3 linked regions of the Sus scrofa genome follow. The protein of the gene in region 2 purifies or fractionates together with the protein of the main gene of each other region. This does not show direct contact. Links are inferred from orthologs where the notes say so. Each region holds a gene or a part of one and is shown on either strand. Other genes may lie near its edges.

Evidence for each region.
Region 1: the proteins of HNRNPA2B1 (region 2) and HNRNPH3 fractionate together in Homo sapiens (co-fractionation; 3 studies listed by BioGRID and IntAct, with this or other methods). This does not show direct contact. The link is inferred for Sus scrofa from reciprocal best matches to the Homo sapiens genes HNRNPA2B1 and HNRNPH3.
Region 3: the proteins of HNRNPA2B1 (region 2) and DHX9 purify together in Homo sapiens (affinity purification with mass spectrometry; 4 studies listed by BioGRID and IntAct, with this or other methods). This does not show direct contact. The link is inferred for Sus scrofa from reciprocal best matches to the Homo sapiens genes HNRNPA2B1 and DHX9.

What each region holds. Positions count from the first base shown.
Region 1 is NC_010456.5:71,484,819-71,489,148, forward strand, and holds the start of HNRNPH3 (heterogeneous nuclear ribonucleoprotein H3), read left to right. Parts: upstream 1-1,476; 5' UTR 1,477-1,635; exon of another isoform or gene 1,636-1,944; intron 1,945-2,179; exon of another isoform or gene 2,180-2,503; intron 2,504-2,593; exon of another isoform or gene 2,594-2,724; intron 2,725-4,330.
Region 2 is NC_010460.4:46,208,158-46,211,809, reverse strand, and holds part of HNRNPA2B1 (heterogeneous nuclear ribonucleoproteins A2/B1), read right to left. Parts: intron 3,449-3,652; coding exon 3,413-3,448; intron 3,316-3,412; coding exon 3,205-3,315; intron 3,045-3,204; coding exon 2,898-3,044; intron 2,657-2,897; coding exon 2,446-2,656; intron 2,282-2,445; coding exon 2,180-2,281; intron 2,107-2,179; coding exon 2,026-2,106; intron 1,381-2,025; coding exon 1,318-1,380; intron 10-1,317; coding exon 1-9. UniProt on the Homo sapiens protein: Heterogeneous nuclear ribonucleoprotein (hnRNP) that associates with nascent pre-mRNAs, packaging them into hnRNP particles.
Region 3 is NC_010451.4:124,182,073-124,184,429, forward strand, and holds the end of DHX9 (ATP-dependent RNA helicase A), read left to right. Parts: intron 1-592; coding exon 593-1,298; 3' UTR 1,299-1,766; downstream 1,767-2,357. UniProt on the Homo sapiens protein: Multifunctional ATP-dependent nucleic acid helicase that unwinds DNA and RNA in a 3' to 5' direction and that plays important roles in many processes, such as DNA replication, transcriptional activation, post-transcriptional RNA regulation, mRNA translation and RNA-mediated gene silencing.

The sequences.
Region 1 (4,330 bases), on a different chromosome or scaffold from region 2:
AAAAAATTTTTTTTCAGGGTTATAAAGTGTCAGTGAATTGAGCACCTAACTTGAGCAAGCTCTCAATAATTGTGAGCTACTGTTATTACATCATCCTGTTTTATTTTTCTATTTCCTGTAATGAACACACTGTCCTTTCCCCCCCTTTCTCTGAGGGTTATCTTGAGGGCGTAGGCTCAAGAAAGGCAGTTAGGGCACTATGACCTAGTCCCACACTTGTCTTAAACAGGTTTGAGGATGAATGAAAGCCAAGAAATGCAAGTTTCCACAATAAGATAGTAATTGGACTCCTGTCTCCACCCTTCACACTGCAGACCTCAGGGAAGAAAAAATTATTCAAGCTTCTCCACTGCTAATCCTCTAGGTCTCCTTCACCCCACCTCGACGCCCTTTTCAGGGTCTACAGCCCAAAGTCTTTGCACTCTGAAGTTCTACAAGCTAGTTTTGTCAACATTCCCAACCTAGGGGTACTTGTGTACACTTAAACTCATTTCCTCCTCTCCTTTGCATTTGATGTGCGTTCCTATACGTCCGCACTTTAACTTGCGCTGATCTCAGTACTAGGACCGACCTCTAATCTTCTTACAGAAATTCAGCTCGCCTTTTTTTTTTTTTTTCCCCTTCAAGAGGAGTCCCTAGGAACCTTGGCGGTATGACAGCACAACCAAAAATTATTTACTAGGTGTCATTTGTACAAGCAATTTTCAAGGATGCAAAGTACTATTTAGAAAACAACTGGAAGTCTCCCGCCGCGAGCGGCTGATGCTCACTGAGATTACAAAGTGGGAGAGATAAAGGCGAGAGGTAACGCCAAGGCGAAAGGAGGAAGCGATTTGCAAGGCAACCCACCTCCCCACTCCACCCCCAAATAAGCCCCACTGTGGGGCGGGTTGGGCGGCTGGGCTGGCAGCGCCAAGGCCGGGGGAAGGAGCTCCAGCCTGAGAACCCAAATAGGGGCCTGGTGGACATTACTGTATCTTCCCAGCCGGAAAACACTACTATTTTTACTGCATAACGCAAACATGGTGGACAAGAAAAGCCCTCCCCGCATTTGGCTGCCGAACCACGTGGCTCCCTTTCCACGCAGGTGACGCGGGGTGAGGGCGGAGCCTTACAGAATTTGCTCTCGCTGGGAAAAAGCGGACTTCTCCAAAACTCGACTCCAGGATTCTTGCAACACAAACAGGAAGGAATACTTTCGCCACTTCACATCTCCCCGCGAAAGCAGAAAGGTGGCTTTGAGAATTTGAAGGTTTTAGGGTAAGCAAGAAAAGCGGAGTTACTGACCCTCCACCTTCCCCCGACCCCAACAACCAGGCCTTCCACCAACGCGCAAGCGCACTTCTTGCCTTCCGCGCCAAGGCGGGACCGACTCTCTTGCCTCGCGAGAGCGGGGCCGGTGGGTCTTCCTCGCTCTCGCTCCACCCCCTCCTTCTCTCTCGCGCTCTCCCATCCCCCCAAGCCAGTCGCTCTGCTGCGCAGCTCCCTCAGCGGTTGCCACCGCCGGAGACGGTTGGAAGAACCGTTGTGGGAGCGCTACACGAGGCAGGCGACTTCTCCTTCTCCACGACCGGGCCCCGCAAGCAGCGGAGTCGGCGCTACTGTCGCTCGACAGGGTATCTGAAGTAAAAGGGGGTAGGTTGGGATGGTGGTTTCGAGAGTGGAGTCGGGAGAAGGACGAAAGAGAAACTGGGAGGGGGTGGGGCGGGGCGAAGTGTGGAGGTCGCCGCTCGGAGGTGGCCAGGCTGCGCCCCCCCGGGCGATCTCTCACTTCGGGGGCGGCCTGCCGGGCGGGGGGGGGACTTACTCAGGGGGGATTTAGTGGACGAAGCCGAGGCCCGAAGTGGGGCTCATCACGCATTTCCCGTCTTTTCCCTGCTGGTTTGGCTTCCGCCATTTTGGGTACGGTGGCGCGGCCACCTGGGCTTCCCGCCCTTCTCCTCTCTTTCTGCTTCTTGCCCCTTAGCTTCCGAAAACTGATTTAGGAGTCCGGGGAGGGGGGCGGTGGTTAGAGCGCCTCGGAAGGGATGTGGGTGGGGAAGGAAGCGAGCTGGGAAAGGCTGGGCACTTGGGTGGGGGGAGGCTCAGGGCCTTCGGGCGCGCTCCGGTTGGAAATGGCGCCGGATGGGCCTGGCCTCCCACCGCGGCCTCCCTTCCTCCGCAGTCTCAGCTGGGCTACCTGGGCTGGCGGGACTGCGAGTGACTTCTGACGCAGATTCCCAAGATGAGAGAGGCTGGAGCTGGGGGAGGAAAGCCAATGGCGACGAAGGCGCTCAACTCCCAAACCCGGGACAAAGGAGGCAGACGGCCTCCTTTGTAATTCCGCCGCCGGGTGGCGAAGGTTTTTAAGCCAAGCTTTGCTGCCGAACGGGAAGGGGGGGAAGGGGCGTACTCTCCCTAGCTCTCTGGTCTCTAGGGCAGCTAGATAAAACGAAAAGCCTCCGGGGAGGAATAAAGGACGCTTAGCCGGCCCTTATATTCCAGGTTTGGAGCTTCGAAAAGAGTACGTACTCATTTTCCAAAGGGTTTTTTCCACTTAAACCGTATTGGGAGACTTTATGGGTAATTGTAAGCAGAAAAGCGGGTGACTTACCGAATAGGAATGTGCAGTGGGGCTTATTTCAAGCAGGTGAACCAAGATACGACTTTCTGAACCTTTGGGCGGGGGCGGGATGGTTTAGCAATGGTTTTGTGTAGTTTGGCGAATACTGTGTTAGAATTTAAGTAGGTGGTTTACTTTTGGGAAACAGTTGTTAAAAAACAACCAGTGATGGAAAAAATGTGTGTATAGGAATTGCGTTATCGGCTTTCACCAATCTCCAAGATTTTTATTTTGTGCAAAGATTGTTTTGGCATTAAGGCTGTGGAAATAAAATACTTCAAAATACAGTTAGGGTTTATTTTCTTTCGGTAGCTAAGCGAATTTTCTATTTGGCTTAGGACTATAGTAACATTTTGGCGAAGAAAATAACCCTACTCAACAGAAAAACAAACTGCAAGCCCAGTCATGTGGTGCTGTGATTTTTTTTTTTTTTTTTTCGGTCCTTAGAACATTGGAGAACTGGGTCTGTAATTTTCACTGAAAACTGTGCAAAGTAAAGGACAGGCAAGGCATGAGACTTCCAATAATGCATATGAATCTTTACAAGTGTGTTTATTTTTTCATCTTTAAAAATGAAAAAGATCTTCATGATGTTGAAGATGTTCTGTGTTTCTATGCACTTGTAAAGACATATAGCCCAGTTTCTTATAAAGTCTTGTGTGGTGTAACAGCTTCCCTGATTGGATTACCCTAGAAACCTTTTTTCCTGCCCTTCATCTGCATCATGATTTGGAAATGCATCTAAATTGCTTTTTATATTTTAAACAACTGTGTAGTTTTGGTATTCTTACTTTGTTAAACAAGTGATTGAACTGCAGTGGGTGGTAACTTTGTTCTAGAAAAGAAATCCGTTTAGACACCTCACCTCCAAGTAGTAGTGTGTGAGTCTATTTTTATTTAAAATTGAGCAAGCACAATGAAAAGGGAATGATTTCCATTTTATTTAAGCATTTCATCACCACTTCTGACCAAAATTTTGAAGTTACCTCTCATTTTTTAATTTTCTGGCCAAACCTGTGCCACAGCTGTGACACCACAGGATCCTTCTTAACCTGCTGACCAAGGAACTTTTTTAGAAGCATGGTTTAGGGTTGTTTATTAATGTATCAAACCCTTTATGTTATAAAGGAATTTTATCTCATTTGGCTTCTAAGATGTTTTTTCTTAACAGCTTTGAGATACAGTTCACAGATCGTTAACTTCATCCATTTAAAATCATACAGTAGTGGTCTTCTGTGACTGGTTTCTTTCACTTAGCCTAATGTTTAGGAAATTACATTAAAAATTTCATACAGAACTGACAAACTGTGTATTTCAGCTGCTGGTGTTTTGATTGATGCTAACACTAGAAATTTTTAAAGCAGAATTGCTGTGACACTTGTAAAGAAAGGTTGAGAAGGATTATCCTGAATAATTGGTAAACACTTTTTTTAGGTAGTTTCTGAGACAACTTTATTAAGGTATCAGAACAGATTGGTGTTTTTTTTTTTTTTTTTTTTTTATGCCTTCAGGTTTTGTCTTGGTTTGGTTTTGTAAATAGAATTCCAGGTTCTAATTTTGAGTTTTGAAGAGTTAGTAGAGTGTGGGTTACTTTGTTGTGTACTCATTCACATGGGATGGAGAGTCATTCTGAAGTAGTTTGTCTTCCAAATCTGCTTAACCTTTCCCCAAATTAAAATTGTGTTAACAGTTTGGTGTGTTCTTTATAGACTGTATTGTTTTTATGCA
Region 2 (3,652 bases):
AATTGCCACCTATTATAAAATAAGCCTTTAAGTAATTACTTAGTATTTTCAATGCCATTTGAACTGTCTTTATCACACCCATTTCCAATTTTCCAAAACACACTTTTAAAAAGTAAAATAGTCATTCTTAAAATTTTCTCTCCAATAGCCTTAAGGGCAGATTCTGAGTAACTATCCTTGGCAGACAGTTGGGGGTGGGGAGCACCTACCACAACCAAGTGGTTCCAACCTTTGGAAAGAAACAAGTATTTGCAATGCCACAAATCTCCCATAAAACAAGGTATCCTGAAATACTGTTTTGTATCTTGTTTAAGGTTGAAGGGATGGGACAGACAAGATGTTTAGGCAAGTGGGACAAAGCAGAGGAGCCACATTTCCTACTGGTCCAAAAGATTAAGCTCCCAATTCATATTTCCCTTTGAATTACCATGCCTCTTAAATAAAATGCCTTCTCCTGAGTAGAAATGGGGGGAGGACCAGAAATTAGCAAACTTGCATTAGCTCAAACACAAATTGGTAGTCTCAGGTTACTTGCACAGAACACAAAAACATCTTTCTCAAACAAAATCGATTTGGATTTCAAAGTTGGAAATAGTGAAATATAGAAGCATAGTTGAGTGCAAAACCAGAAATCAGGTCTATTTATCAGCTCAGTTTTAAATGTCCTGTCTCTTTCTTATCAGGACATTTTGTAAGCAAGTATCATTCTTTTCTGTACTCCAACAAAACATACATGATATAAATGCACATACACATACACGCCACTTAATATTTAACAGTGGCTCACAACCTTAGCTGGACACAGGAGCACCCTTTTATGTTCTGGAATTTCCTTTGTGGACTTTCGGGATATTTTCTTGGAGGACTTAATCTTGGTTAAGAGCTGACACAACACAATGTTCTTACATATAGCCCCTTATATGTTGATCTAGTTCATAACCATCATTCTGTATTTTTAAAAAAAGGCACCAACATACAATCATCACATCTATGTCCAATTCATTTTCATGGGCAACAGCCAGACATCTTTAAATAGGATTTTTAAATTCTCATTTTAAATCTACCCAATTGAATTTGCAAAGTTTACAAACACCTCCAAGTATACCCTCCTTAGGTCTGCAAGCATACTTTGCTCAGGTTTATAACAGCTAAGATGTAAATAAGAAAAGCCAAATAATTGAATCATTATCACCTAATCCCTTTATATAAGTTATCAAGGTAAAACATTAAGAAAAACTTTATCTGTATTCTCAAATGGACAGCATGCACAGTGATTAAATCTTAAGACACATAAACTAAAGAGAAGAAAAAACTGACCTCCAGGTCCTCCTCCATACCCATTATAGCCATCCCCAAATCCACGACCACTTCCATATCCATCTGTTAGGAGCAGAAGAAAAGGATCATGATTATTTATTTTACCCCTGTTGAAGCTTCTCAATTTCTTACCCCCTTTCCTCCAAGTTACCTGCTAATATCTATGGATAAGAATTATTAGGAAGCCATCTCCCCCTTAACCTATTAACACTGGTGATACCAGTTTATCCTTAGACACTAAAGAGTGTAGATTTCACCATCGGGACAGGGATAACTGTTCAGCTGGAGGGCTTGGAGCCGGCAAGCCTCAACTTAAAATCTTCCATTCATTCATACATAGGAATGATATTGGACAGGGGCAGTTTTTCTATTGGTACTGTACTAATTATTAACCAGATTAACCTATGTAAGACTACAGGTTAAAACCCCCTACAGGGTTTCCACTCACTCTTCAGAAAAACCTCAAATTCAATTCTTCCAGAAAATGAGGACCATTAAATGGACCTCTACAATTATTTGTCCCTGATTAAGTATCGTTTTAACACCATGTTTCAAAATATCTCCTGCCTAGCAAAATCAGAAAATTCCACCGGGATAGAACCTACTTTAAAACTCTTAAAACTTTCAAAATTAGCTTGGATCGCCTAGAACTGAATTAAAACTAACTCATAGAACATTCACCCTTCTAAACTTAGAATGAAGACTTACCAGATCCTCCTCTAAAGTTACTTCCAGGTCCTGGTCCAAAATTTCCACCACCACCACGAGAATCTCCAAAACCAAAGTTGCCTAAAATAAATACCATGGTTAGTAACAAACACTTATCACCATAAATCTTAAGAAAAAATGGAATTGAAGTTACCTCCTCTTCCACTTCTAGAACTTTGGACTTCCTGCATTTCTTGTCTAGACAAAGCCTTTCTCACTTCTGCATTATGACCATTGATGGTATGGTACTTTTGCACTGGAAGAAAAGTTCAGATTCCCTAAGTCAATGTTCTATATATAGTATTAGTTAACTTACAAACTATTTTTTTACAAAATTATACAAAATCTTAAGAGCTAACACAGTCAAAACTTAATAGTGAAAAGAACCACACACCCCTAGCACTTATTACAGACACTTACACACAATCTTATCCACAGGATCATGGTCATCAAAAGTAACAAATCCAAAGCCTCTTTTCTTTCCAGACTGCCTATCAGTAATTATCTCAATGGTATCAATTTTCCCATACTCCTCAAAGTAATCTCTAAGATGGTGTTCCTCAGTATCTTCTTTAATTCCACCAACAAATAGCTTCTTCACAGTTACATGAGCCCCTGGCTTTCCAGATTCCTGAAATAGAGGAAAAAGCACACTATCTGATTAACAAATGACTTCTACTCTATATTCAAATACTACATAAGGCAAAATGATTAAGAACCTAGTCTTTCAAATAAAACTAAGAAATGAAAAACACAGAAACCCCACTCAGCATTAATGAGGAAACAAAACTTGGAGCGAAACATGGATAACTTTCTAATCTCAAAAAAATTTCCCCCAAATTATCTACTGCACAAATTACGTATTCACTCACCTCTCTTGCAACAGCACGTTTTGGCTCAACCACTCGTCCATCAATTGAATGTGGTCTTGCAGCCATGGCAGCATCAACCTCAGCCATGGATGAAAAAGTTACAAAACCAAATCCTCTTGATCTTTTGCTTGCAGGATCCCTCATGACCTTAAATGCATAGGAGTAGAGTTACTATTTAATCTCATTACTTACAGCATTTAAAAATGAACATGAACTTAAAACTTTTCTTAATGATTCACTAACACTTTAAACAGATGAGCCTGGGGAGTTAAAAGGACTATTATCTGCAAGCACTTTATTAACATACCACACAATCTGTAAGTTTTCCCCATTGCTCGTAGTAGTTCCTCAAACTTTCTTCTGTAGTTTCAAAGCTCAAGCCACCAATAAAGAGTTTACGGAATTGTTCCTTTTCTCTCTGCAAAGGAAAACATCATTTCAATTTTTATTTACATTTTCTCTTTGTATACAGGAAATTAAATTCTTAAATATGAGGTGACCTGCTGGCAGAGTACCTTTTTCCTCTCCAAAGGAACAGTTTCTAAAGTTTTCTGGGGGGGAAAAAAAAAACTTACATCAAATTTAAACCATATGTTAAACTGCATATTAGTTGTGTTACACCAAAAAAAATTGCCTCAGCTGAACTACACAAGTTTCAAAGTCATTAAATCTTGATCTAAATTTACTTCACATTCAAACATTTTAAACACATCTAATACCACTTAGTTAAAAAAAATTTCTGGAAAAAAAAAAAA
Region 3 (2,357 bases), on a different chromosome or scaffold from region 2:
GTAAAGGACAAAAGGCCAGAAACTAGAAAGGATGGGACAAGTACAGGATGTTCTCAGAAAGTTGCACAGAAGGAATAAGTGGTTTCGGGTATGTTGAATTGACATTTTGGTGAGACAATTTGATTTTAGGCAGTTTTTCACTACCCCTCACTTTCTTTGCCACGTGAACCAAGATTTAGATGTAAACAAATTAGCCAAAGACACTTTTCAAAAACAGTTAATGCAGGAAAATACCTAGTGGTAAAGATCAAATAACTCACTGCCATCTCAGGGAACCTCTTTCACTTTCCTAGAATGACATATAGTTGAGATGTGAGAAAGAACTCTTAAAGTTGTAAGGACTTATTGCCAAAATTTAAGGTTTTTGAGAATGAACCAGAACTTTAACAAAACAGATGGTTAATAGTTATGCTTCATCTTGTGTCTGTTTTGGATTTAGCAGATTTATTTCATTTCTGTTTGTATGTATGCATTTGGCTTCATTCCCTTTGTGTGTTAAATTTTCAAATATGACTAAATGTTTCTATCTTGTGACTAGTTGAGAAGTATTAAGGATACTTTGCTAAAGGTGGTGGTTTTGTGCTTTCTCTAGATATGGAGATGGTCCACGTCCTCCCAAGATGGCTCGATATGACAATGGAAGTGGATATAGAAGGGGAGGTTCTGGTTATGGCAGTGGAGGCTACGGAGGTGGCAGAGGCTACAGAGGCGGCGGAGGCTACGGCGGTGGTGGCTTCGGCGGTGGCGGAGGCTTCGGTGGCGGCTTCGGTGGTAGCGGAGGTTTTGGTGGTAGTGGAGGTTTTGGTGGTGGCGGAGGCTTCAGTGGAAATGGGGGCTTCGGTGGTAGCGGAGGCTTCGGTGGCAATGGGGGCTTTGGTGGTAGTGGAGGCTATGGTGGTGGTGGGGGCTTTGGGGGTAGTGGTGGCTATGGGGGTGGTGGAGGCTTTGGGGGTAATGGAGGCTATGGGGGTGGTGGAGGCTTCAGTGGTGGTGGAGGCTTCAGTGGTAGTGGAGGCTTCAATGGTAACGGAGGTTTCAATGATAATGGAGGCTTCAGTGGCGGCAGCTATAGTGGTGGCTCCAACTCCTATCAGGGAGGCTATGGTGGAGGTGGAGGTGGTGGCGGAGGCTACAGAGGGGGTTCCCGAGGTGGCTATAGAGGTGGGTCAGGAGGAGACTACAGAGGGTCTGGTGGTGGAGGCTACAGAGGATCTGGGGGATTCCAGCGAGGAAGTAGCAGAGGAGGGGGCTATGGGAGTGGCTACCCTGGACAAGGAAGAGGCGGTGGTGGCTATTAAAGCTTGGTTATGTCAGTGCCTGCGCATAGACAGTTTAAAAAATAAATGCATGCTACCCCCTTTCCCAAGTTGTTTATTTGCTGCCAACGAGTAAACCCATTTTTTTCACCCATGCTGTGATTCATTGTAGTTTAAGGAAACTAGACATAAGATTAGTGCTTTTGTTTATATTATGTAAAATATAACGATCTATTATAAAAGTACTACCGTTTGTATTTTTTCTTTAAGGAGTAAAGATTTGCCTTTAAAATTCACTTGATATTTTCTTGCCTTTAGTTTATTAATACAGTAGAAAATAAAGTTCTACATTAGATACTGGCCATGTAGTTAACTGTTTGTTGATCTTACATGTTAGAATAATGTCAATTACATCTGTTTTAAATGTCAGCTGAAAAACTGTACTCCATTTCCCAAGTATACTGACTATTGTTATTACTTGTAGTAAGAATAAATAGTCTTGGAATGAAATTGTTATTCTTGGATTTAATACTGGCCCAGTGCGCAATTCACATGGACTTCTCTGTACCTGAATAAAACTTTTGACCTAGGGCTGAACATTTTTTTTTCCCCAAGTTTTGTCTTTGAAAAATCTAAGACCAAAGTCAGCATTCTTTTAGTTGTTTTCCAGTGTAAAAATTAAAATTTTAATTAAAAGTACAAATTAATCCACAAAACTCTTGAATAAAGATTTAAGCAAAGAACTAAGGTAAATGATGATTGACCATTGTATAAAGTTTAGGTATTTGATGAATAACTGTTTGCATTAACATGTATTTCAAAGGGTATTTGTAAAGCTAGTTTATTTTAGAGATATTTATAAGCTTCTAAGATTCCAATGAATTTTCACATTTATTATTTCAGAAATAGCACAGTGAGTAGGAATTTAAAAATTTTTAGGTTAGATAGCCCTGAGCTCATATCTTAATTCTTAAAAAAAAAAGTGGTTATAGTATAAAATCATTTTGTCTAAAAAAAGGTACATACCTTAATTTGAAAATGCTTTATTTCGGGGAGTTCCCGTTATGACTCAGAAGGTTATGAACCCGACTAGTATCCATG